4 linked regions of the Arabidopsis thaliana genome follow. The protein of the gene in region 3 purifies or fractionates together with the protein of the main gene of each other region. This does not show direct contact. Each region holds a gene or a part of one and is shown on either strand. Other genes may lie near its edges.

The links.
Region 1: the proteins of LIS (region 3) and GYRA fractionate together in Arabidopsis thaliana (co-fractionation; one large-scale study listed by BioGRID). This does not show direct contact.
Region 2: the proteins of LIS (region 3) and AT2G40290 fractionate together in Arabidopsis thaliana (co-fractionation; one large-scale study listed by BioGRID). This does not show direct contact.
Region 4: the proteins of LIS (region 3) and MCM5 fractionate together in Arabidopsis thaliana (co-fractionation; one large-scale study listed by BioGRID). This does not show direct contact.

The regions. Positions count from the first base shown.
Region 1 is NC_003074.8:3,340,333-3,348,284, forward strand, and holds the start of GYRA (DNA GYRASE A), read right to left. Parts: upstream 6,029-7,952; 5' UTR 5,912-6,028; coding exon 5,487-5,911; intron 5,393-5,486; coding exon 5,323-5,392; intron 5,225-5,322; coding exon 5,159-5,224; intron 5,045-5,158; coding exon 4,943-5,044; intron 4,755-4,942; coding exon 4,710-4,754; intron 4,634-4,709; coding exon 4,535-4,633; intron 4,396-4,534; coding exon 4,309-4,395; intron 4,176-4,308; coding exon 4,105-4,175; intron 3,617-4,104; coding exon 3,508-3,616; intron 3,403-3,507; coding exon 3,340-3,402; intron 3,191-3,339; coding exon 3,125-3,190; intron 3,030-3,124; coding exon 2,941-3,029; intron 2,740-2,940; coding exon 2,691-2,739; intron 2,538-2,690; coding exon 2,451-2,537; intron 2,350-2,450; coding exon 2,256-2,349; intron 1,871-2,255; coding exon 1,800-1,870; intron 1,715-1,799; coding exon 1,625-1,714; intron 1,235-1,624; coding exon 1,109-1,234; intron 1,023-1,108; coding exon 865-1,022; intron 767-864; and 8 more. Other genes in the region: GalAK (galacturonic acid kinase), read right to left, coding at 6,457-6,704, 6,839-6,928, 7,037-7,106, 7,201-7,229, 7,322-7,362, 7,525-7,676. UniProt on the Arabidopsis thaliana protein: A type II topoisomerase that negatively supercoils closed circular double-stranded DNA in an ATP-dependent manner.
Region 2 is NC_003071.7:16,828,244-16,832,858, forward strand, and holds AT2G40290 (Eukaryotic translation initiation factor 2 subunit 1), read right to left. Parts: upstream 2,984-4,615; 5' UTR 2,647-2,983; coding exon 2,263-2,646; intron 2,133-2,262; coding exon 2,076-2,132; intron 1,997-2,075; coding exon 1,910-1,996; intron 1,827-1,909; coding exon 1,680-1,826; coding exon of another isoform or gene 1,629-1,679; exon of another isoform or gene 1,592-1,628; coding exon 1,487-1,591; intron 1,179-1,486; coding exon 1,080-1,178; exon of another isoform or gene 1,076-1,079; intron 943-1,075; coding exon 787-942; 3' UTR 523-786; downstream 1-522. Other genes in the region: AT2G40280 (S-adenosyl-L-methionine-dependent methyltransferases superfamily protein), read right to left, coding at 1-57; FER4 (ferritin 4), read right to left, coding at 3,258-3,295, 3,431-3,494, 3,599-3,664, 3,782-3,843, 4,101-4,188, 4,274-4,334, 4,419-4,502. UniProt on the Arabidopsis thaliana protein: Functions in the early steps of protein synthesis by forming a ternary complex with GTP and initiator tRNA. This complex binds to a 40S ribosomal subunit, followed by mRNA binding to form a 43S pre-initiation complex.
Region 3 is NC_003071.7:17,303,615-17,309,081, forward strand, and holds LIS (WD-40 repeat family protein / small nuclear ribonucleoprotein Prp4p-like protein), read right to left. Parts: upstream 3,813-5,467; 5' UTR 3,753-3,812; intron 3,671-3,752; exon of another isoform or gene 3,652-3,670; 5' UTR 3,562-3,651; intron 3,298-3,561; 5' UTR 3,242-3,297; coding exon 3,151-3,241; intron 2,890-3,150; coding exon 2,163-2,889; intron 1,757-2,162; coding exon 1,300-1,756; intron 1,198-1,299; coding exon 1,000-1,197; intron 897-999; coding exon 705-896; 3' UTR 516-704; downstream 1-515. Other genes in the region: GPT (UDP-glcnac-adolichol phosphate glcnac-1-p-transferase), read left to right, coding at 26-66, 149-269, 357-416. UniProt on the Arabidopsis thaliana protein: Participates in pre-mRNA splicing. Part of the U4/U5/U6 tri-snRNP complex, one of the building blocks of the spliceosome. Essential for reproduction.
Region 4 is NC_003071.7:3,522,472-3,529,257, reverse strand, and holds MCM5 (Minichromosome maintenance (MCM2/3/5) family protein), read left to right. Parts: upstream 1-1,757; 5' UTR 1,758-1,869; coding exon 1,870-2,139; intron 2,140-2,207; coding exon 2,208-2,351; intron 2,352-2,428; coding exon 2,429-2,608; intron 2,609-2,687; coding exon 2,688-2,786; intron 2,787-2,857; coding exon 2,858-2,994; intron 2,995-3,093; coding exon 3,094-3,199; intron 3,200-3,493; coding exon 3,494-3,628; intron 3,629-3,715; coding exon 3,716-3,793; intron 3,794-3,999; coding exon 4,000-4,104; intron 4,105-4,195; coding exon 4,196-4,287; intron 4,288-4,372; coding exon 4,373-4,505; intron 4,506-4,608; coding exon 4,609-4,704; intron 4,705-4,853; coding exon 4,854-4,945; intron 4,946-5,035; coding exon 5,036-5,126; intron 5,127-5,208; coding exon 5,209-5,318; intron 5,319-5,402; coding exon 5,403-5,532; intron 5,533-5,611; coding exon 5,612-5,713; intron 5,714-5,795; coding exon 5,796-5,879; 3' UTR 5,880-6,274; downstream 6,275-6,786. Other genes in the region: ABCC13 (multidrug resistance-associated protein 11), read right to left, coding at 6,767-6,786. UniProt on the Arabidopsis thaliana protein: Probable component of the MCM2-7 complex (MCM complex) that may function as a DNA helicase and which is essential to undergo a single round of replication initiation and elongation per cell cycle in eukaryotic cells.

The sequences.
Region 1 (7,952 bases), on a different chromosome or scaffold from region 3:
CATACACAAGTGAAGCATCTTCCGACTTCTCTTCCATATCTTTCCGCAGAGATGCAGGTATGATGTCCATGCTCGCTATCTTATCCTCATTCTTGAGTCTCATGGCAGTCACTCCCTTTGTATTTCTGCTCAGTGTGCGAACCTAAACAAACAAAAGCCATCAGAGTTTGCTCAAGTATTAAAAGGTTTACATGAAAGATGAATCATTTAGAAAAAATGAGAGCCACAACTTACACCATCACATGTACTCAAGGCGACCATTCCATTTTGGGATGCCATGGCTACAAGATCGTCGCTTGAGCAACAACGAACCCATTTCAGTTCATCACCAGAATTCTGAAGACAAATAATTTTGTTAGAGTAACCTTGTTAAGAAGACTTCCTATATGACTAAGAAGAAAAAGGGGACAAACCAACTGAATTGCTATGATTCCAGTTGAGCGTATTCCTGAAAATAATTTCAAAGATACTTTCTTGATGCAGCCATTCACTGTAAGCATCAGGAGGTAGCGATCTTCAGCAAACTCGCTAACAGGAACAATGGAGGTTACTCTTTCACCTTCCGACATGGATAATATCTGCTTCCACAAGTCACATGAACACAGCAAAACATTAGCCTTTCATAAAATTGAATAATTTTTGACATAGCAGAAGGAAAACATAGATACACAGATATGTAATTACCTGAACCAAAGGTGTACCAGCTGCATTGCGAGAGCATTCTGGAATTTTATATGCACGGGTTGAGTAAACTATACCCCGGTCACTGAATGTACAACAAGTATAAGCAATGAATTACAACAAGGCAGAAAATTAATATCCATGTGCGTAGCAAACACAAAGGAAATTTTGAGGTATACATACCTGAAAAAGAGGACATGGTCATGTGCATGACAAACAAGAAAGTCAGACATTGCATCATCAACTCTTAGTTTCCCAACAGATTTGCCAATTGTTCCACGATGCTGAAGATTGAATGTATCGGCCTTCATTCTCTTCACATAGCCCTTTTCGCTGACTGCCTATAGTCATCCATATCAAAAGTTACAAAACAAACAACAAAAATTTCAACGTTGAGAAACTTTCTAGGTTTAAGTATGCAACATACCATCAGCATCTCTTCATTTGGAATAACATCTATATCTTCTAGATCACCACTGTCAGAATCCTCCAACATTGAACGCCTGGGACTTGAGAATCTGTCCTTCAGCTCTATTGCTTCTTGTTCGATTAACTAAAGAAAAATACAAGAAAAACAACGAAGAGAATAAAGTAGTAAGTAATATACAATGAAGTAAACGAAGCAAATAGTTCAATTTTGGTCTACAAGAAAATCATCATGTATCAGTTATCTTCCTAACATTGGCCCAGAACAGCAACATATAGTAAGCAGCTTTACAGATATAAAAATAAGTACCAAACAAGAAATGGAAGAAGCATTTGAATCCTTATACCACATCATAATGCATGGACTAGATTTTGAACCTCAGTGGACTCAAACAGTCAAGCTTACAAATTTGGAGTACATATATTGATGCATCTATCATTCTACTAGCATCTAGGTGTTCTAAATTTCTAATATCAATAGCCAAAAGAACAGATAACTAAAAAGTGAGTGTGTCACCTTTAGGATGTTTGTTCGGGTTGATAATAGCTGCTCCAACTTTGTAATTTGCTCTGTTAGTGAACTACTTTCATCAGTAAACTTTTTCCGCTGCATTTATGAAGGGAGAATCTAGTTAGAACATTGTCAAGCCTACAAGTTTCATAAATTGAACTTAGCGAGAATAAGAAAGCACCTCAAGAGCAGTTAGCCTTCGAAGAGTTATCTCCAGTATAGCCTCAGCTTGTTTCTCAGAAAGACCATATTCTACATAAGTAAATGTTTGACAAGTGTTAATTTTAATATATGGTATCGTCCCTTACAATAGAGACTTACAAAGCATAAATCCCTAAGAAATCTTTGCAATTAAGATCAAATCTTACAACGAATGAGACTCCAGCAGTTCCAGATAAAAAGACAAGAAATATATAATGTTCAAATGTAATATGGAAGAGTTCACCACAAGATGTATTCTTTTAATAGTGTACATCCTAGACTACATCTATCAGTCCACCTAAGAAAAATTGGCTCTAGTCTACTTTTTGACTCCTAATTCTCGCTCACTTTTCCGAATTCTGTTTATACATCAACCTATAATGTGCAGTTCAAGATTGTTACATTGATTATATTGTCAAAGTAAAATATAGCTCACCACTTTGTAAAGCAGCAGTAGCAGAGGAATGACTTGAGGCCTTCGTGATGAGTTCGATTACTTCGTCCACATTGTCAAGCCCAACCACAATACCCTAAGCATATATACAGTGAAGATATTAGAAAAAATGCTTTACATCATTACATCATGGTCTTCACGAGCAGATTTAAGAAAGTTAAATATTTCTAGTCGCACCTCAATAATATGCTTTCGTTGTTGTGCATGTGAAAGCTTGAATCTTGCACGCCTTTCGACGACAGAACACCTGAAATCTATAAATGCCTACACACAAGCAAGAAACAGAAAGTAATCAACAAATTTACTTTAAAATGTGATTACAGTAGCACAGAAGTAAATATCCTATCTCTGATCTTCACTTTTCTATTACTCCTTGTGGGCTACGTAGATAAATGATTTACATAGACAAGTGGTCACCTGAAGTAGTTCTTTTAATCCCATTAGCTTGGGTTCTCCATCGCAGATACTGTAAAACACAGAATACCATAATCCAGTTACGATAAAGAAAAACGCATATGTGAATACATGATCCTTAATATATTTACAAGCATAACATACTCATTAGAGAATTTTCAACTAGTCATCCTGGAAAATGCCCAAGTTCTTTTATATGCCCACTCTTCAAAAAAGTACAGGAAATAAGAAGTTATCGGTTGATGCAACTCACCCCACCATGTTGCAGCTGAAGCTTGATTGAAGGGCAGTATGCCGGTAAAGATTATTAAGCACAAGTGCAGGATCCCCTCCTCTTTTGAGCTATAGAGAAGTATTGGAAATTATCTTAATTACCTTCCAATATGAAATTTTAAAGCAGACTAATACATCTAAGTGCAGAGGAAACAGTGTAATACCTCAATAACCACACGCATCCCATTACGATCACTCTCGTCACGTATGTCACTTATGCCCTCTAGCGTCTGAAAACAAACACCAACATCAATGAATAAAGAAGAAACTTTGCAAGCATATAAGGACATACTAGAAATGTAACACACCTCTGAGTAAAATAAGTACATATTGCTAAGTGAAGCAAAATAAACATTAGATGTCGCAAGTTTAGTTGTACCTTATTTTCAACAAGTTCGGCAATCTTCTGGACAAGTGTAGCTTTGTTTGTCTGGTAAGGAATCTGCAATAAAGTCACACTAAAGGCATTACTCTACTGCTAATAAACATTTTTGAAACCCTCATCCATGGAGATCTGAACATTAATCTAAAAAACTAAATTGATCACCTCTGTGATAATAACTGCATTCCGCTTTGTCTTTGGATCCAACAATTCAACTTCAGCTTTTCCTCTAACTACAACTCGCCCTCGGCCAGTTCGGTAAGCATCCAAAACCCTTGAAAGCGCAAACACACATTAGAAAATTATAAGAATCCAACATTGTAAAAGGAAATGGCATATGAATGCAAACTATTTTTTTAATAAAGGTATTCAACAAACTCGAGAGTAAATGTACTACACAACATATAAGCTTTCAGAATATTAAAAAATCACTCACACCATCAGAAAAAAACATGATGATTCAAAAACTGCATATGACAGACAAATAAAGGAAAACTATTAACTGGACCATCCTCTTCACTCATTTTCTAGGTTCCTTTTAAGATATAGGTACAGCTTCTGTAATCTGTTAGAATCATAGATCAAAACAAAACAAAATGCTTTTCTATTTCCATAAAAAAAAAGTTTCACACTTTAGAAGTGAGTCTTTCTATTTGATCCTATAGATAGCCTACTCTCAAAAAATTAGCAAACGAGGTGGGCAAACAAAAGTCATTAATGTATAAGATCCCTTTGGGGAGAAATTGGAAAGCAAAGAGTTACCCAAGGTTTCCCATTATTATTCCTCCAGTTGGAAAATCCGGTGCAGGCATGTATTCCAGCAGTTCTTGCAGCTGCCCAGACGAAGAAGAAAGTGGAAACAAAATCTTATGAGTTGTCTACTTATAAAACAGAGGATTTTTCATGTAAAACAAAAGACCCACAAATTGATAAATCACAGAAAAACAAAGGGGAGATGAGTGATACCGTTGCTTCTGGATTATGGATTAAAGCGCAAAGCACGTCTACCAACTCCCCAAGATTATGAGGGGGAATATTTGTTGCCATGCCAACCTAAACAATGTGAAATGATCAAGATTCAACTGCATATTCAATCTCATACAGCAGGGAAAATCTGCACAAGATTAACTGAAGAAATCTCGAACAAAATCTATTAAGGAGTTCAGATTTAAGATTTGTTTGATTATTTTACCGCAATCCCAGAAGCTCCATTCAACAACAAAGCAGGAAGACGAGCAGGCAACACTGCTGGTTCTTTTTGTGAGTTATCAAAATTGGCCACAAAATCCACCTGCCAAAACAAAAGAGGTTAAGGACCATCTAGTTGAGTATCGGTAAACTTGGCAACAAATTAATAGTGAGGTTACCGTATCTTGATCCAGATCAGACAATAGTACTGCCTCTGCCAGTGGCTGCAGAAAAAAAATAAGTACAATCAGCTGAAAACACTGACAAAAATACATGTTCATCTCAAGACAAGAGAAAAAGTAGAGATGAGAGATACACTATAGATAGCAAAGACAAGTGAAACAACTAGAAAAAGTGAATTGCAGGGAAAACCATTTCAACTAGAAGGGAAAGTAAGGTAAAAGGCACTCACATCGAGTCTGCATTCAGTGTAACGCATAGCAGCAGGAGGATCTGCATCTATTGAGCCAAAATTTCCATGGCCTTGGATAAGTGGACATCTCAAGGAGAAACTCTGCCAAAAAAACAAAGGTATTAAAACAAAAAAGTCAGAAGTTTGGGAAGAATCGAATCGTGCCTGAAACATTATTTGAGGACTGGACTACATTCCATGAATTCAGATATTTACCTGAGCCATCCTAACAAGAGAATCATAAACAGCAGTATCTCCATGCGGATGGAATTTACCAAGAACCTGAAAACCCAAAGAATTCAACAGCACAAATCGTTCTTCAGAATAAGATATTTAGAGAAATCGACTGAGAAAACACTTTCCAAAAATCAATAATATACCTCTCCAACAACTCTTGCACATTTCTTGTATGGTTTTTTAGATGACATCCCCAACTCATGCATTGCAAAGCTGGAAGACAAAATAATCGAACATTAGAAGGAACAATACCACTGACTAAGCTTAAAAATATCAGTAGCTTTGAGCCGAACGAAAGTCACTCAACAGAATTCTCCGATGTACTGGTTTTAGTCCGTCTCTAACATCAGGCAAAGCACGTCCAAGCAAAACAGAGAGCGCATACGACATATACGACTCAGTAGCTTCCTTATGTAGCTCAAAAGGCACAATACGAGATTCGTCCCCAGAAACAACCAAACCGCCATTGTTAGCTCCGGACTCTTCCTTGACCTGCTCATCTCCGCGCTTACCAGCACCGACAACGAATTTGCCGGACCGAGGAGTACGGGAGGAGAAGAAACGCGTGGCGGAGGGTTCAGTGCGGCGGAGACGGCATAATGGGTCGGTGAGGGGGAATCGGAAGAAGGAGCGGCGAAGAAGGGAGGAAGAGAGACGGAGAGTGGAGGAGAGAGACATGAGAGAGTTAGGGTTAGGGATTGAAGCAGTGGAATGGCATAATACTGGAGTCATGCCCAGAGGGTTTTAGGGATTTTTACAAGTACAAATGGATTAAAGTGCTAAAACCCTAGAGAGCCACACCGGAGAATTTCTCAGGCGCGAATTTCAATACTTTGGCGGGGGTCTTTGTGTCCAAACAAAAAACTAATCTGTATCTCTATTTGAGATATACACTATTTTATACAAACAAGATTATAATAACTAACTTTCGATTTCAATTTCTAATTTCATACTTGTATAGTGTCTTTGTTAGATCAATTACAGAACTAAATTCACCAATTGTTGAAAATTTAACAAATTTATGGAGAAATGTTAGTCACATTTTTGAAGTTTGCGATTCTTCTATCGACTCGAAAACGGTAGAGAATGATTTACATTATGTATTTGTAGCAAAAAAAATGTATCAAGCAATGATGAAACTCCGACCAAAGAGACCAGAGAATTTCTCAGACAGGATCAAAAAGAGATAAACAAGCAAAGAATCAATAAGCGTGAGAGATATAAGGGACAAAAAAATCGAGTTTAAGTGGGGAAGAAACCAAAAACTCCAGGATTGATCAGAGAAGAACACGAGCAGCGTCACCTGCTTCACAGATGAGAACAGGTTTTCCTCCATTTAGATTGTTAGCAAACTCGGGTTGGGCCTTTTCATATTCATCCTTCACATATGAAGCAGCTGCCTCAGCTTTTTCTGCATCTACAAAGGCTAGACAACATCCCCTGAAACCTGCACCGCTGAATCTAGCTCCATATACACCAGGAGCCTTCAGAAGAATCTTGTATAGCTGGATCAGTGGCTCCGCACCTTCACAAAACTCACAGAATTTAAAACCAAAATAATGAATCTAAGAGAGAATAATGTCTGTAAGCATACTAGTGGTCTGTATTCACTATAGGATATGTTGCATTTGGGAGAGAAGAAAAGAGAGTGTAATGTACCGCATTCGTAATTCTCAATGGAACTCAAGCCGGATGCTGAAATTAGCTTTCCAAATTCTTCAAGATTCCCTGAAGCCCAGGCTTCCCGTCCTGAAATTTAAGAACAAACATTCATAAAAGTCCGTTAAGCATCATAAAGAGCTTAATGAATCATTCATGCACATAAAGAGACATCTACAAGAATTCAAGAACATTTGCCTTTGATAACTCGCATGTTCTCCGAGAAATAATGCTCTGCTCTTTTAGCTAAAACCGGTTTCAGCTCATGCTGCACGAACAAGTATTATTGTATTACATATTTACATAGGCCTGATATAGGTGGAACCTGTTTTACCAAAAGCTTAAGAATCTTATTTTCTTACCTTGTGAGCTTCATAGACCGCATGCTCAACTATTCAGTGGGACAGTTAGAGACATGGCAACAAAGAAAAACTAATCAGCATGCAACGAATAAGTTAAAGTCCACACTTAAAGTTTTTTTACCATTGCACAACGTAGGTTCCAGCTCACTGTTCCCAGATGCACTGAAAAGAAAAAGTAAATCAAGAGAAGGGTGTGAATCTTGTGATGCAGAAAAATGAGTATCACAAGCAATAGAGAAATAAACTTTGCAGCATTTCCACTGAAATTTAAATCTAAATAAGCGAAAATGTAGATAAATATGAATCAAACAGATTTGCACATACGTCAAAAGAACTTTTGCTGCCTCTTGACACTCAGAAACTCGCAGATTATATCCTGGGTTGGTGGTCAACGCCTGCCTCAAGCCTGAGAATGCTAACAATATCCTGAACGGTTTCTCCAGTTCAGGAGCCTGTACAAGCTCGTGGTCCAAAGTCTGCATATTTCAAACAGTTTTTCTGAGATGGCAGTTTCTGGAAGAAAATAAAGTTTCCCTATCTATGGCTGGTTAGGAAGGATTTCTTCAAGGCCTCCTGATTCTAACCATTCATTTTCATTTTAGGAAGAAGTGAACTCAGCATTGAAATACATTAAAATCGAAGCAATTGAAAAGATTAAACACTTATTTTCTCGTGAAAGCAATGAGAATGTTGTAGATCTGATTTGATCGTGAGTCATTTTCAGTTTAGAGATCAAAAACATCTTAGGCATC
Region 2 (4,615 bases), 480 kb from region 3:
GGCGATGAGGAGAGTGGAGAGGAGTAAAACGACGACGTGTTGTACTGATATCGCCATTGGAGACGAAGATCATTAGAGATCAGTGTTACGAGACGCGTTTCAGGTAAGAGGAAGAGGAAAGTGTGAGCTGAGCTGAGCTCCAAAAGTCGCAACTTTCACATTTCGATTTTGCAGAGAGAGCTTAAGTAATTTTTAATGCGCCGACAGATTAAAAAAGGATTTGTGTCCGAAAGAATTTTTCTTTTCTGATTAGTAGTATAAGACAAGATGTTTGATCTTGTAATAAATCATTTTAATTATGAATCAATTGCAAGTTAACCATTTATGTATCAGACAGAGGATTTTTAAGAATTTCATTTTTGGTAAATTTTCTCAATAGAAGATCGCAGTAGTAATTGATGAATATCTGCATCTTCGGAGACATCAGATCTGAATTAAATCTACACACCTATCATTGCCAGATCCAATCAACCTACTTTCCTGAGGTTTAAACTCAAAAGTATGATCATATTGAGCCAAAGTTTTCCTAAGATAATAATGAGTCATGTGGTGGAGCAACATATTCTTGAGCAGTAGTAACATATGCAAAGAATCAAATCTTTTATAAAACCATGAATGTATGATTGATATGTAACCACCCCCTATGGGTAAAATAAAATGCCTCAGAGTCATCAAAAAGCACATAAATCCTCTCGGAGGTTTTTCTACTGCCTTGTCAAAGCTTAAACCAAAATACTGGGACTGTTGAGATTGGGTAGATTTAATAGAAAGAAAAATCCGGCAATCTTACTCGATGATTCCGGCACCTGCATCGAGATCCACTTCGCCCATACCAGTGTCCTCTTCTTCGTCTCCGCTATCTTCATCGCCGCTCATTTCTTCATTGTCAAGACGTAGCTTAGCCATGTGTTCTGTCAGCATCTTTTCATCACGTTCACTCACCTATATTTGACATAGATTATAAACATTAATAGGCGGTTGTGAACCAAATTAAACAAAACACAAAAGAAAAGCTCGTTCTTGTGACATGCAACTCGAGACGGTTCATCACTTAAAAAAAACTAATTTAAGATACTCACAGCTCTAGCCCCCTCCTTAACGACAAGCTTGCCTTTGTGTGTCTCAATTGTCTCAGTGCATGCTGCTATGGCTTTGTTTAGAATTTCAATCCCTTGTTCCTGTTTAATATTTGAGAAATTGAGAAGATAAAATGGGACAAAACATAGCATTTACACATTTATGGTTTAAGTGAAGACAAATCCGCAGAGCTACATAATTGGCAAACAAAGTTGCAATGTCCAGTGTTTTCTTAAGCATTTACTTTCCTTGCAACTACAGTGTTTTCAAAATTCTGGCAAGTAGCTTTAGTGGATATACAATCTAAACAGAGATCATAAACCTCTTAAAGATAAGTAGGGGAGGATTTCTATAATATACCAATTACCAAACCAAGTAAATCATAGTGCAAGATAGAAGATTGCCTAACCTTGTCAAGTGTCTGAGTAGTAAGGACATACAGAGGTGGAGCAACCAATTTAATCTTAACAGGACAGTCTTCATTTCCAGCGGCTTCAGCATTTTTCATAGCCTCCTGAAATTACAAGCATGGGTGAGAAAATCAAATGAAATCATAATGTATTCATTTCACAAGTTAAAGATAATCTAATAAGAGATACGACCTTAATGTGAACAACTCCATCAAACTGAAAACACTTCAATTCGATATCAGCCCGGATTTTCATTGGTTGTGGTGTCATTCTCCTCCTAATGTTCTTCACAAGTGCATCTTTCACTTCTTCCGTAACAGCAGGTACAACCTTAGTCACCTACAAACAGAAAACTTGTAAGATTAGCACCAAATAAAGTTAGTACTAACCGCTAAAACAATGCCAGAGAACAAAGTATATACCTCTTGCCCATCAGGCCCAACTTCTTTGATCTCACGGGTGAGAGGACCCAACACTGAATCAGGATCCGTCACTAAGATCTTGAAAGCCTGAACAAAAGAAAATTATATATGAGAACTAAATAACCATAGAGATACACAATGAATCTCCAATTCACAAAATTCTTACCTCAAAAGCATGACCATGTCGTCGATACAAAGGCCAACCAATGTTCACATACAAGTCCTGCAACATGAAAGCTCAAATCAATTTCTATTCAACGATCACATCACTAAGCTATGATATTTGATAATATCTCTAACAAGCAAAATCCAAATCCAGTAGATAATCCCAGATTTGAACTACGATATTTTACCTCCAAATCAATTGAAAGAGTCTCAGCAACATGGCGCATGATAGAATGAACAAGTTTGCTCTTGTTATACCTCTCTTCACAAGTCTGAATATCTTCCTCGCTGACTCTACGTTTGCTCAGATCAATGTAACCTTTCTCTTTGTCAACACGGAGAACCATGACAGGCTCAATTCTTCCGACCTTAATCAAACTGCTAACACTTCGGATCCGACGACGAGAGAGCTCGGAGAAAAGGATCATGCCTTCGATGTTGTTGTACTCGAGGAGAGAAACATAAGCTCCCATATCGGCAATGTTCTTCACCTGGATCATCACCGCCATATCCACCTCTGGGTATTTCGCCTCGTACATCCGACACTCGAGATTCGGTGTTTGACTCGCCATGATTGGTAGATTTCGATACTGCTTGAGCTCACGCGAATTCACTCTTCGTTGAATCGGGTAAAGCTACGAGGCGGAGACACTTAGGGTTTTAGACTTTTTAGGCGACGGAGCAAATCAGACAGGTTTCTAGAGATAAGAAATGAGCAAGGAACACAAACGGAAAATGAGTCGACTTGCGTCAAAGATGCCAAGTTAAACGGCACCGTGTCAGTTAAACAATTAGGTTTTAATTGGGCCACAAGATAGTTTCAAGGGGTTAGGGGTTAAAAGCCTATTCGGGTTTCAGACATTTTCGGCCCAACTTCTTTCACAACGTAAGTTTGGATTGATTTCCTTTGCTTATTCATGAATTGCGTTTAAACCGGAGCAAACTAAACTAGAGCTCGAATCCACATTTGGCAGTCCAAAAACATTCTGACCGAACCGATGTAGAATCGATCACCAGGTGGGTTTGATGAACCTTATACCAGAATATAAAGTTATGTGATCATGTCTTTTGTCTCTTACAGAAAAAGAAGTCTACTACCTCACAAAATCGTAAAAGCTAAAGAACTAAACATAAAGTAGACACATATAGAAACACAGTAGACACAAGAGTCCCTCGAAGCTGCTTACCCTTCCAGAAGCATCTGATTGAAATGCCATGTTCCTGAAATTACCCACAAGCATTCAAAGACATATATTAAAACCAAGTTTGAGGCACGACGTAGGATGAATAAGTGGATTTTCTTGTTCTTTTATAAATTTATAGATTAGAACAAAATGTGAGAGATTATTTATGTACCGTGTCCTTTGCCAACTCGTCGCAGTTGAGCCACATATTCTGAGATCAACTTGATTGCTTCCACCTGAGAAATGTTTTATTTTATCAAAAATTCCTATTAGATTCTCTTTGATAGCTTATATACAACAGTAGCTCTTTGCCACTAACATAGAACACCAAATAAATTACCTGCTCTGTCAGAAACTCGCTCTCAATAAAATCTGCCAAGTGGACATCATTGTTCTTCGAAGCAACCTGTTGAAGCAAAGCATTACCAAACTGAGAACAGTTCTTGCCGAGTGAAGATTAGATTTACTTCTCAAATACGGATTTGACATATATAGTATGAACTCAAGAAGAGATGGTCTTTACACTGTGAAGGTTTAAGAGCTTCTCATTAACTAGTTTCTCCAGTGACAGAGCAAGCTCCATGCCTGCAACAACAAATCACAGAATTGTATGTTAAAATTCCTATATCCATTGAGACTTGAATCTCCATATGAGAGATACATTTTCATAATACTTAAGAACTCAGATAAAATTCAGTCTTTGCTAGTGAAAATATGCAATCTCTTCAAAAGCTTAACAAAATCATTGGTGTCAATATCTAATTTCTTAGAATGTGGCAGACATATGAAACTAAAGAAGTTTTTTCACTTGGGATTATTAGTGTTAGCATTTTTGAGCTTACCATAAAGAGCATCTCCTTTGTCAACATGTTCAAACTCTGAAAGAGGCATTACAATGGACTGTAACTTAACCCTCCCACCACGTTTGTTCTGCAATTCATGGAAAAAAACTAAAACATGTTAGAACCAAATTAGCTCCAATAAGGTAAACAAATGGAAATAACTTTCATAAGACCTGATACTCCATTAACTTCTCAGCATGCTCTCTTTCTTCCAAACTTGATTCCTTAAAGAACCTGATTCCATGAAACCAACAATTAACTATGGATAAACAAAAAAAATCCGAAAATATCAACACTCTTGAATAACCGGAGACTCACTTGGCAAGACCTTTGAGCGCGATGTTATCCCGATCAAAGTAAGCATACATAGCGTGATACACATACGAGACATTGTATTCCACACTGCAACCAAAATCCATTGAAGAATTTCAAATTCACAGGTTCATAAACAATAAGCAGAATCAACATGAGGTTCCAAGTTACCAAATCTTATAGCCAATCAACCAGATTATAAT
Region 3 (5,467 bases):
CATACTATATATGATAACTCTTCAGCTTGCTGGGATTGTGAAATGTCCGCGCCATCGTCTCCCAAGGTAACCCCCTTTGTTTTCTTACCCTTTGTAGACTGATTAAAGAACAGACGCATCACTCATCTTGTCTTTTGAAAATATCCAGGTATGATCCTGCTACCGGATTACTGACCGGCACAAAAGATGGGACACTCGTCAATGTTTACTTGAGGTTGTTTGGTCCTAAATCAGAAAAGTCTCTTTGCATCCATCTTCTCGTTTTCCAGGTAGGTCTCAGATATATGTATATCGCCATTCGTATATAATGAAGTAGTCGCTTTAGTGTTGTCATACTCTGCTTGTTTTTGCTACAGGCTCTAGCCTGCGCCTTCTGCTTCATACTTCGACACTTTCTTGCTGGTTGGTATAAATAGTCTGCAATCAGAGAAGTCACAAATACAGAACATTACTTTAGTACCTTGTACAATCGTATATATCAACAATTTTTGTTAACGTGTTGAAGTATTCTCAAGTAAACAAAGTTCATTCATTTGCTTTTTGTTGAACGAAATGGCAAAATTTTCAAGACAATGTATCAGCATCCTGAGTTTCTATAATTCCCGACAAGAGATCAAATACAATTTAATGAGTTTCTCTAACAAGCTAATCTCGAAATCCCTAGATCCCAAGTTTTTTTTCTTGCACAAACATGAAAAATGAAACTAGAGATCTATGTCCATTGTTTCTTTCTCTTCGTCTTCATCATCATTTCCACTGCTTGTCCATAGCTTGATGGTGCGATCATGTGATACAGTAGCGATACACGAGCTATCTGCTGTGATATCTAGAGAGGCGACTTTTGACTCATGCCCTGCTAAGCTTTTAACGAGCGAGAAATCTCTTCCTGACCATATCTGGTAGACAAAATATAAGAAATTGGAATCAAACTATAAGCCAATGAAACAGAAGACTGAAAAAAAAAAAAATACTAAGGCAAGGGATTATAGAAGTAGTTACATTGACTTTCATGTCGTATGAGGCAGTGGCCAGAAAGTAGCCTTCTTGTGGCTCATACTTCACTTGAGACACAAGGTTAGCATGAGCTGGTATAATGTACAATGACTTTCTCATTCTTAGATCCCAAATACGGCATTGATTATCCTCCCCACCAGATGCCAAGTGATAACCATTAGGAGAGAAATTCACGGAGAAAACCTGAAGAAACATATAAAACAGAGGATATTAAAACAAGGGTTAGTAAATAATCACTTTTGCTTGGATACGAGGAGGACCAATGGAACAAAATTAGAATCTTACCGGTTTGATGTGTCCTTGGAAGACAAGAATACTCCTACCAGTGCGGAGATCCCAAACTCGTGCGAGTGAATCAAGCCCACAAGAAGCTGCTAATGCTCCATCTTGTTGAAATGCAATTCCGTAGACACTGCGGCTATGGCCTTCTTGCAAAAGCAGTTCTGCTCCTGTGTTTATATCCCACAATCTCCACGTCTTGTCATAGCTTGTAGTTCCCAGGTATTTCCCTGATGGGTGGAAAGCAACACGTGCCAGACGATCCAAATGACCTTCAAACGTTTGTAGGAGTGTTCCATCAGTTTTCCACAGCTTTGCAGTTCGATCAGCAGAAGCAGTCGCTAGACAATCATCCACTGGGGAGAACACTACATCAGTTGCACGTTCTTTGTGATCCTTCAAGACAGCAATCGTGTTTGTAACTTGAGGCATCTCCCACAATTTAGTAACTCCACTCAGAGAACTAGACAAAAAAAAAATCGATGAATTACTAAACAGAAGGGAACTATGTGAATCACACAAGTCATGAACCTAGAGAATGCGTAATGCAGTTAGAAAGGGCAAATGCAATAGACATGGAGTATGCTATCTATAAGATAAACTATAGGCCTAACTAACTTCATGGTTTTATAAAGGTGCAGTGTTTAAAAGTGAGGAAAATCAGCAAGTTCAGTGTTTAAGAACAGGATTATTAAGATACTTCTCTACTGATATATCAATGAAAATGAATATGCAGGTAGAATGCAATCTAGTCCAGGTAACTCTAATCAAATAGAGACGAGGAAAAATAGTTTCAAGCCTAAGAAACAATATGTGGAGAATATGTGAATTTGTGTTGAGAGTGAGAAGGAGATAGAAGAGAGACATACCATGTGGCAAGTATCTTTCCATCGCGTGAGAAGGAGCAGCCGGTAAGAGGACGATCATCTCCAAAATTACTGCAATCAAGGGCCATGTGTTTAGCATGCTTTAAAGCCCACTTAGTCTCTGCATCCATATCTTCATCTGGATCATCCCTCCGCCGCTTTGCACGCTGAATCCTGACAGCAGCTCTCTTGACAGAAAACTTGGCAATTTCTATTCTAGCCTCTCTAAGTTCCTTTGGACCCTCGGTAAAAAAGGGGTATTCAAGAACTTCATCATCTACTTCCTCTTTTGGAGTCACATCTTCTTCGTGATCTTTAACCAGTTTATCCAATTGCCCATTGATATCATACCTAGTCAACAGCTGAGTCAGCCTAGCTCGTCTCTCCATTTCCTGTTCTCCAAATAGAGTAATGGGCTCCCCAAGTCGTCTAAGTCGGTCCCTAACAGCTTTGTCATTTGTTGGAACTGCCATAGCAGCAGCACGACGCTTTACCAACAAATCTTGCAATGCCTTTTCCTGTCTTTCTCTGACCTGCTTACTCTCTTCAGATATCTCAATATGTTCATCATCTGATTCCGAATCCGAGTCACTGGTTTTCACTCCACCATTTTGTGAAACAGGTGGCCTAAAAGTAGGTGGGCGGGCAACTGGAGGATGTGGCATCATAGGTATTGGAGCCATTGGTGGGGGAAAAGAAGGAGGAACCACAGGTGGAATGGCAGAGAAACCTGAAGTTACAGTAAAAGTGAAACATAAATTACTAGAGTTAAAGGATCACGAAACCAAAGAAAACCCAATGCACTTCTTTAATAATTGGAAGAACGAAACAGTATCTGGACTCTACAGACCAAATCCTTAAGCTCTAATCTAGATGCATTGCGAGAAAAATACAAAAACAAACTCAACCAGGAAAAAGTGAAACAGATTTAAGGAATTCAACTGCACTATAATCTTTGATGTAACAATTTACTTGAATGCTAATTAATTACCTGGCAGAGACGAGGCATCTTGTAGAACTGGAGGTGCTGAAATTTGAGCTGTTGCTGCTAATGAAACATTATCATCCTTGTTGGGTTCCATGTTTCCCTTAAATCCTCAAAAGAAAACACCACCGAAACAGCAATCTAGAGAAAACCCTGGAACAAAGAAGAATTCCAAATCAGTTCTCGTGTCCTAGTATACACAAGACAATGCATTAAACAAATAAGAAAGAGGTTAGCTTTATTCTAAAACTCAAAGTATCAAGTGCTCTCTTGGGAATTTAAACAAACACCTAACAGTCAAAGTATCAAGCTTCCTAGTCACCTCATAAGGGGATACTAGAGCATACTCAGTGAAAGAAGCAAAGAAAATCAACAGGTTTCAGTAGAAAAAAATCGAAACTGGGATCGTAAGTTTACCAGGAATTGACGAAACCCGCGAATCTCGTTACTCTCTTCGAAAGCCCCAAACACGAAACAGTCTTGTCAGTTGCTCAAGCTCCGTGTTTCCTGAGAAAAAACCCATAACCTAATCAACAACCCAATTGTTAAAAATCCATCTTTATGAGAAACAAAGAGAAGCTAAATCAGAGAGGAAAGTTGGTTCATACCTCTGAGTCTGACCAGAGACGACGGTAGCAAAAACGGAAATTTGATGCGAGAAAGCCGAGAGGGTTTTTCTTATTTATTTTTTAGTCCTTTAAACCGACCTTTGACAAAAAAAAAACGACTTTGTGAAAACGGGCCGGTTCATATTGGGCCTTTTTCATAATGGGCTTTTATTAATTCGTAAAAGTTTGAGTATATGAAGCAGGTCATGTTCATTTTCTGTTTACGTAAAAAAATCTTCTAACACAATTCAACCAAATCCATTCACGGCCCAATAAATTATTGAATCTTGTGGTATGCTCCAAATTTCTTTACCTAAAACTCTAAATATTTAAAAACCAGATTCTATTTTGCAATTATTTGAAAATTTGGATTCTAAAATATAAAGAAAAAACTGAATAAAGAAGTAGGACCCGATGCACTAGCACACTCAGCACCTCCCAAGAGTCGGGCCTGATTCACATACACAATTTGGTATACTCAGAAACGAGCTTCTCTACGAATTTGTCGATAACTTTTATAATAAAGGAGATCATCGTACGTGTCCACGTAAATGTTTTTGTTTTGGTCAAAGTGCACGTTTTCTATTGTCCATTGAATCCTTTGTGTTTACTCATTCTCCAAAACTTGAAACTATATGTACATAACTCATTTTTAGTATAGCTTTAAGTGATTTGCTATCTACAATAGACTATAGTAAACGAATATTTTGTAACATGATAGATTAATAAAGTAGAGATCTAATTAAGGAGGGAAGGAAATCATCAGTGTCTTCAAACCAATACAAATAAGAGTGAGTTTTGGTTCATTCCAGCCCTACACCTAGAGCAACCGATTCACAATTTTAGTTTATTGTTTTCGAATATTCTTATATGATTCTCTTATAAGCATCACACCTGAACAAAGAAACTTCTAGCCTTTCTACAATGTTCCGATAGAGTAGCTAATTCGGACAATGTTCCAACATAAATCCGTAACGTGGCATACAAAAAGTTACACGAAATCTTGAACCTTGCTGTTACCGCTCCTGTTTTACTTTCAGTCACAGTTTCTTTTTTCCACAGTGTTGGTTTCTTCTGATGTTTCAAAAGTTGGCCAACCCCACAATCTTTTTCTCAGACAGTGTAGTTAGTTTTTTTTGGTGAATGGTATCTATCAATCAGTCAAATGAGTCAGTCTAAGATTCAAGATATTGATCCTACCATATCATATTAGATTCCACGTGGCGCAAGCCAAGGCATGGCTTAGAGGAGGGGTCCCTTACTTCATATGGCCTGTGACATTGTTTTCCCAAAAAGTGGTTCCACTTTGTTGAGACTTTCAAGCTCAGCCACTAAGACTTGCTCTTCAACTTCTTCTACTACTTCTGGTTCCTAAATCTTGTCTGCTCAATATTTCTAAGTCATTTAGATGTCTTTTCGTGTTATCTCAAGTCCTTTTCTTCCCCGTGTTTGTTACTTACTTTCTATCTAGTGCAGTGGGTGAGGAAATGGCTCCACTTACCACGTGAAGATAGCTTGAAGATAACCCTTTTTCTATGTTTTATATAACCCTCTATAGACAATAACTCACTTGTCGCTATCGTTTGAAATACTTGGAACTTTGATGCTTAATCATTCCTTGTTTTGAATGACTTATCTTAATCCTAAGATGGAGATTTCAAAGATTTACTTGCTAGTTCATTGAACTTAATTGCAAAGATGCTCTATACTTTGAA
Region 4 (6,786 bases), about 14 Mb from region 3:
CTAAATATAAACAAATTGAGATAGAAAATCCATATTATCCAATCCATATGGACAACAATGGAATATATAATCTCCAATGAGAAACATGTAACCATAAACCCTAAATCATTGTAGACAACTTTGATTCTTCAACCCAAAACCCTAAATCATCTAAACTAAACGCGAAATCCTAAACAATAAAGCCTAAATCCTAAAATGTAAACACTAGATACTAAATCTTAAACCCTAGACATTAAACCCTAGCCCTTGACTTTAAAGCCTAAACCCTAAAACCTAAGTTTTATATGTACATAATCTATAACCACCACTTTTGATCCATGATAATCTAAAGCACGCTTCTTAACCTGAAAACGTAAAATATTATTGAGATCGATGTGTTCATACACAATCTTACGATATACACTCGTATTTATGTTTTGTTAATATGTAATCGTGGATAAATAAATATAAACATTTTCATAAATAAACTTTTGTTGATATGACCAACAAAACTTGTTTCATCACATTTTATCAACATCTTTTACATAACGTAACACTGGTTTTATGAATAGTATTAACAAAACACAATCATTTTGAATTATCGACCGTCAACACACATCCACCAAACTCTGACCATGTGGTCATTTCAAATTATCGCCTATCACTCTTCTTTGATTTGTTTTGTATTTTTTCCATTTTTTCATTATTTGCTCATGTGTTTTAATGAAAATAGCATCAAACTACCTTTAAGTTACAAATTTATAGTAAGAATATATGTTTGGGTTCTTTAATTCAACTCTCTCTCTCTCTTTGAGGAATTTCCACAAATATTTGGTGGCCAAATCTAAGATTTGTAAAAAGACAAAAATTTGACCAAGACAATGATGGATACACTAAGAGAAGAAGAAACCTAGCAATTAAAAATGAAAATTTTAACCTTATGAGGTTGATTAAAGAATGAGAAACTGAATAAAAATCTTGAAAATTTCCAACTTTTAAGATCTAAGAAGAGAAAGAAAAAAGAAAAATCTAGATCTACTTTTTGGTGTTTTTGATGAGAGAGAAGAGAGATAATGTCTCAAACCATTTCCTTTTTTCATTAAGATATTTTAAGTGTTTTGTGTGTTTAATTTTGTAAAGAGTAGAGAAAAAAATGAATGAAAAGAGAGAAAAAGTAATGGTTGTAAATTATGGTAAGTTTGGATTGCTTAGGTTGGGTTGATGGTGTAGTAGTAAAAAAACTTTAAAAAGTGTTTACTCTTTCTAAAGTGCTTTATTGCGTAATTGAGTTTCAAAAAAGTGTCCAATTACCTAATATTCTCAAAAACATTTATCATGTTAATGACATTTCTGTAATTAACGTAAATGAGAAGGATATATATGGTTGATTTTTCTTTTCTTTTTTATAGTTACTTAATTTTCAAATTATTAATGTTATAAAACTAAAAACTATTCTTTTAAACATATATATTAATATAGCCTTAAATTTTAAGTGACATTGAAGAAAATTACGATGGAATTGAAAATGCTTACAACGATATTAAGTAGCTTAAAAATATGAAATTCTAAAATGTGCAATTCATAAATTTAAGATTCCTAGATGTAGTCCATAATTATATTTTTATCTGTTTGGTTTTTTATAATAAATTAGAAAAAATGGATAAAAAATGTAACCTTAGCTAAAAAGAAAAAGAAAGAAAGACCCAATAACCAACGAAATCCATTTACCCGTCCATAGGTCTTGGGTTCGGCCCATCAGTTTCCCGCCACATTGTTCCCGCCAAAACTCATAGTCGACATAAAGCCCTTGCCCCCACTCTCTCTCTTCGTTTAGAACTTTTTGATAAGAGAGAAAGAGATAGAGAAATTCGTAACGGAGACGAAGCAACGATGTCAGGATGGGACGAAGGAGCAGTTTACTACAGCGACCAGCCGCAGTTCCCGGAGGCCGGAGACGCCGCAACCATCAGTCCCCACGCCGTCTTAACCAAATTTAAGGAATTCATTCGAAACTTCGAGATCGAACAGAATTGTTTCCCCTACAGAGAAGCTCTCCTCGATAACCCTAAGCGACTTGTTGTCCACCTCGAAGATCTCCTCTCCTTTGATTCCGATCTCCCCTCCTTAATCCGATCTGCTCCTGCCGATTATCTCCCTGTGGTATGACTTCAAAAAAAATTAGGGTTCATATAAGCTTTGTATTGAGTGAGTCAATCTTTGAATTGTAGTTTGAGAAAGCAGCTGGTGAAGTGTTGACTGGATTGAAAATGAGGGAGGCTAATGAGGGAGGGGTAATGGAGGAACCTCTGACTAGAGATGTGCAGATTTTGCTCACTTCAAGAGAGGATCCAGTATCAATGAGATTACTTGGGGTATGTCTGTTTTTTTGTTTTTAGTATCAATGAGATTACTTGGGGTATGTCTATAATGTACTCTTTACTCTTGATAGGCACAGTACATCTCAAAGTTGGTGAAAATCTCTGGGATTAGTATTGCAGCTTCGAGAGTGAAAGCAAAGGCGACTTATGTGTTTTTGGTATGTAAGAATTGTAAAAAGACAAGGGAAGTTCCATGTCGTCCGGGTCTTGGTGGGGCAATTGTTCCTCGATCATGTGATAATATTCCACAGGTGAGTTCTTTTGATTCGTTTGTGATTTGAGTTTGTAGTTATCCTTGGTGTTGATTAGACCAAATTGGAATTTGTTTAGCCTGGAGAGGAGCCTTGCCCTCTTGATCCTTGGATGGTGGTTCCTGATAGGAGCCAGTATGTTGATCAACAGACCTTAAAGCTACAGGAGAATCCGGAGGTATAGATTTACATTGTAATGTTTTCGCTTTTTTTGCACTTGTATATATTAAATGCTTCTGAGTTTTGAAGGATGTTCCTACTGGAGAGCTTCCAAGAAATATGCTTCTCTCAGTTGATCGGCATCTTGTACAAACAATTGTACCTGGAACCAGACTGACAGTAATGGGTATCTACAGCATTTTCCAAGCTTCGTCATCATCTAACTCGTAAGCTTTGTAGTTTTATGTCAAATGAGAGTGTAGATTGTTTTCTGGGAGAGTTACACCACAACAATGATGGACATCTTTTCCTACTTTCTGATGTAGGCATAAAGGAGCAGTTGCAATTCGCCAGCCTTATATCCGAGTTGTTGGACTGGAAGACACAAATGAGGCCAGTTCCCGTGGCCCTGCCAACTTCACTCCTGACGAAGTTAGTATCGCATCATTTGGTTCTTTTTGTTTTCTCATTTGATAGCCTATGTCATCCATGGTTTCACAATGAACTATTGAAGTTAACATGGCTGAATTATTGTTACTGGAAACCAAATGCCTTAGGTAGCTGTTGGCTCTATGAAATTCTTTGTGTAACTCCCAAATGAATGTGATGGTGTTTTCTGGAAATATTCTCTGTGCTACTAGTTTACTATGAAACATTTAGGCCTGCTTGGAAGCCTAGTTGTACAATTCCATTTATCAGTTTTGTCTTCCATAATATTACTTTTAGGAGGAAGAATTCAAAAAGTTTGCTGATAGTCAAGATGTATACAAGAACATTTGCACCAAGATCGCTCCTTCTATATTTGGCCATGAGGATGTGAAGAGAGCAGCTGCGTGTCTTCTCTTTGGAGGATCCAGGAAGGTAGGAAACTGTGATAGCAGTTTTTATTTTCTGTGCACTTTGTATACGTTTTTGATATATTTATATACATTTCTATCTTTGATTCAGAGCCTGCCCGATGGAGTGAAACTAAGAGGTGATATTAATGTTTTGCTTTTGGGAGACCCATCAACTGCAAAATCACAGGTTTGTAATGTGGTCTCAGTATCAATGGTTTATAATAAGTGTGTTATTCTTTTTATATTTTCTTACGTCTCTCTTATTTGCTTGATATTCGTCTTACATCCTTCTGTTCAAGTGTTAGATTACAATCCTTACAAAATGTCTGTGTTATTTCCAACACCTGTAGCTTACATGTTTAAAGCTTAATTGCTTATTTTTTTTCTCTCTAGTTTCTTAAGTTTGTGGAGAAGACGGCTCCAATTGCTGTTTATACATCTGGAAAGGGTTCATCGGCTGCTGGGCTCACAGCTTCGGTGATTCGAGATAGCAGCACTGTATGTCCTATCTTCAAGTGTTTTTCTATGATTTGTTTAAAAGTAGTTGCTATGACAGATTCTCAGTTATTTATACATATGTTCATTGCAGCGAGAGTTCTATCTTGAAGGTGGTGCTATGGTTTTGGCTGATGGAGGTGTTGTGTGTATTGATGAATTTGACAAGATGAGACCGGAAGATAGGTAATTCAAATCTGAATCATAGTGTTGACGAATCTAATTTTTCTCTATGAGTAGAATTGATGGAATGTTTTTTTTTTCTTTATAGGGTTGCTATTCATGAGGCAATGGAGCAGCAGACAATCTCCATTGCAAAAGCTGGGATAACAACTGTCCTTAATTCTAGAACCTCGGTGCTTGCTGCTGCTAACCCGCCATCTGGTCGATATGATGACCTTAAGGTTTGAAATCTGGTACTCTCCTTTGGCAATATCATGGTTTTCCCGATTCTTGTTTGCAATATTCTTAAGAGATGGGTGTGTTTTTTTTTCTTTGGATTTGCAGACTGCTCAGGACAATATCGATCTGCAGACAACAATTCTTTCTAGATTTGATCTTATCTTCATTGTCAAGGACATCAGGAAGTATTCCCAAGACAAGGTAAGCAAGGAAAGGAACAATTCTTTCAGAAATTTTATGTAGTTAAAAGGGAAAACAGAGATTAATGATGGAGGTCACTGTTATTGGAAAGTTTGCTTCGTTGCTTGCTTATTATGTAGACATGATTAATGTTTATAATCTTTTCACAGGAAATAGCCAGCCATATTATAAGGGTTCATGCATCTGCAAACAAATTTTCGGATGAAAACACAGATTCTAAAGAAGATAATTGGCTCAAAAGGTGTGTTTTCATTCGTCGAGAAAACAATGTGTTCTCGCAGTTTTCTGTACAAAATCATGACTCTAAAATATAATGCTCTTTTTATGTTAGGTATATACAATACTGTCGAGCAAGGTGTCATCCCCGTCTCTCAAAAGACGCTGCTGAGAACCTGCAGCGGAAATATGTCACAATCAGAATGGTAATTGTCATTTACATTAGATTTGACAATAAGATGGTTAAAAAACAAAGTTGGTGTCAGTATAAAATTTTCGGCTAAACAGGATATGAAGAGACGTGCACATGAAACAGGAGAGGCTGCTCCGATACCTATCACAGTGAGACAACTCGAAGCTATTGTCAGACTGAGTGAGTCACTTGCAAAAATGAGACTGTAAGTAATCTTATTAACATAGAGATTCCTGATTCCTGAAACCTGATGGGATGTGCCGTCCATTGACATTGTTAAATATGTCAGGTCACACGAGGCCACACCAGATGATGTAGACAAAGCTTTTAAACTTTTTGATACCTCGACAATGGATGCAGCAAGATCAGGGATAAATCAACAGATAAACATAACAGGCGAGATGGCCAATGAAATCAAGGTTAGTTGCTTGTGGGGAAGAAAGAATCATCGTATCTCTAGATGTAATAACTAAATTTGGTATTGGTGTGAAAAAACAGCAAGCGGAAACACAGATAAAGAGAAGAATGGGGATCGGAGCTCGATTATCAGAGAGAAGACTGATAGAGGATCTGGCTAGAATGGGAATGAACGATTCAATGGTACCTAAGCTAACATCTTTGTTGTTTAATTTTCAGTAATGTGAATGGGATTTTTGAGGTAATGTGCATGTTAAAATGGCAGGTGAGGAGAGCTTTGTTGATAATGCACCAGAGAGGTGAAGTTGAGTACCAGCGAGAGAGACGTTCTATTGTCCGCAAAGCTTGATCGTCTAGGCATGCAATCTCTCTTCTTTAGTAGCAGCGATGACCAAACAAAACAAAATATTTAATATTATCAAGTTAATTTGTAGGCAAAAAGTAGAAAGAGAAGCTTATGTCATGTGTATTTGATGAAGATTCTTAGTAAACTTTTACGCTTGCTTCAAACTAATGTATTCTCCACCTTTGTTGTCCTTAGTTAAAATGTCACGCCAATGTTAGGAAAGCGTTTGAAGATTGCTGAATGGTATAATCTAGTGCCGATAGTTAAAGTAAAGATGCAGATAGAATAGTTGATAAAGTAAAAGTGTAATCTGAACGTATATGTAAATTAAAATTTTCTTAATGTTGTTATTAGTAGAATGTTGTTACCTTGAAAAAAAAATGAAATAAATAACCATGGTTGAACTTGACTCAAAATGTTCTTCTTTTAAACTGGTTCGGGTTACAAAACTAGTATGTTGTTGAATTTTGAACTGGTTCTGAAGCTCCCGGAATCTCTCAATTTCATTTTGTTCTTGTGTTGTTGAGAGATAATTGCTTCTCTATTTAACATATTTTTGGCCAATTACTTTACTCTATCATGCATAGCTTGGGAAACTCATGGCTAAAGCTGTTTTAAGTTGCAATGAAGAATCAATTCCTTCTGAACTAACTTCTTGGAAGAAAAACAGACAATAAGAGTACCATTGTTTACTTCTCAGTTCTCAATCACCATCGAATTAGATAGATATTTATGAATTTGGATTAGGCAAGTCCATGAAGACTCATTTATTATGGAAAACTGAGCATATAAATGAGCTACTACAGTTGAAACTAGTTTTTCTTAATTTCCATGACAAGATAATTATAGCAGAGATCAGAAGTTACAAGTGATCAGATTCTAACAACATTTCACTGAGAAGCTCTGACAA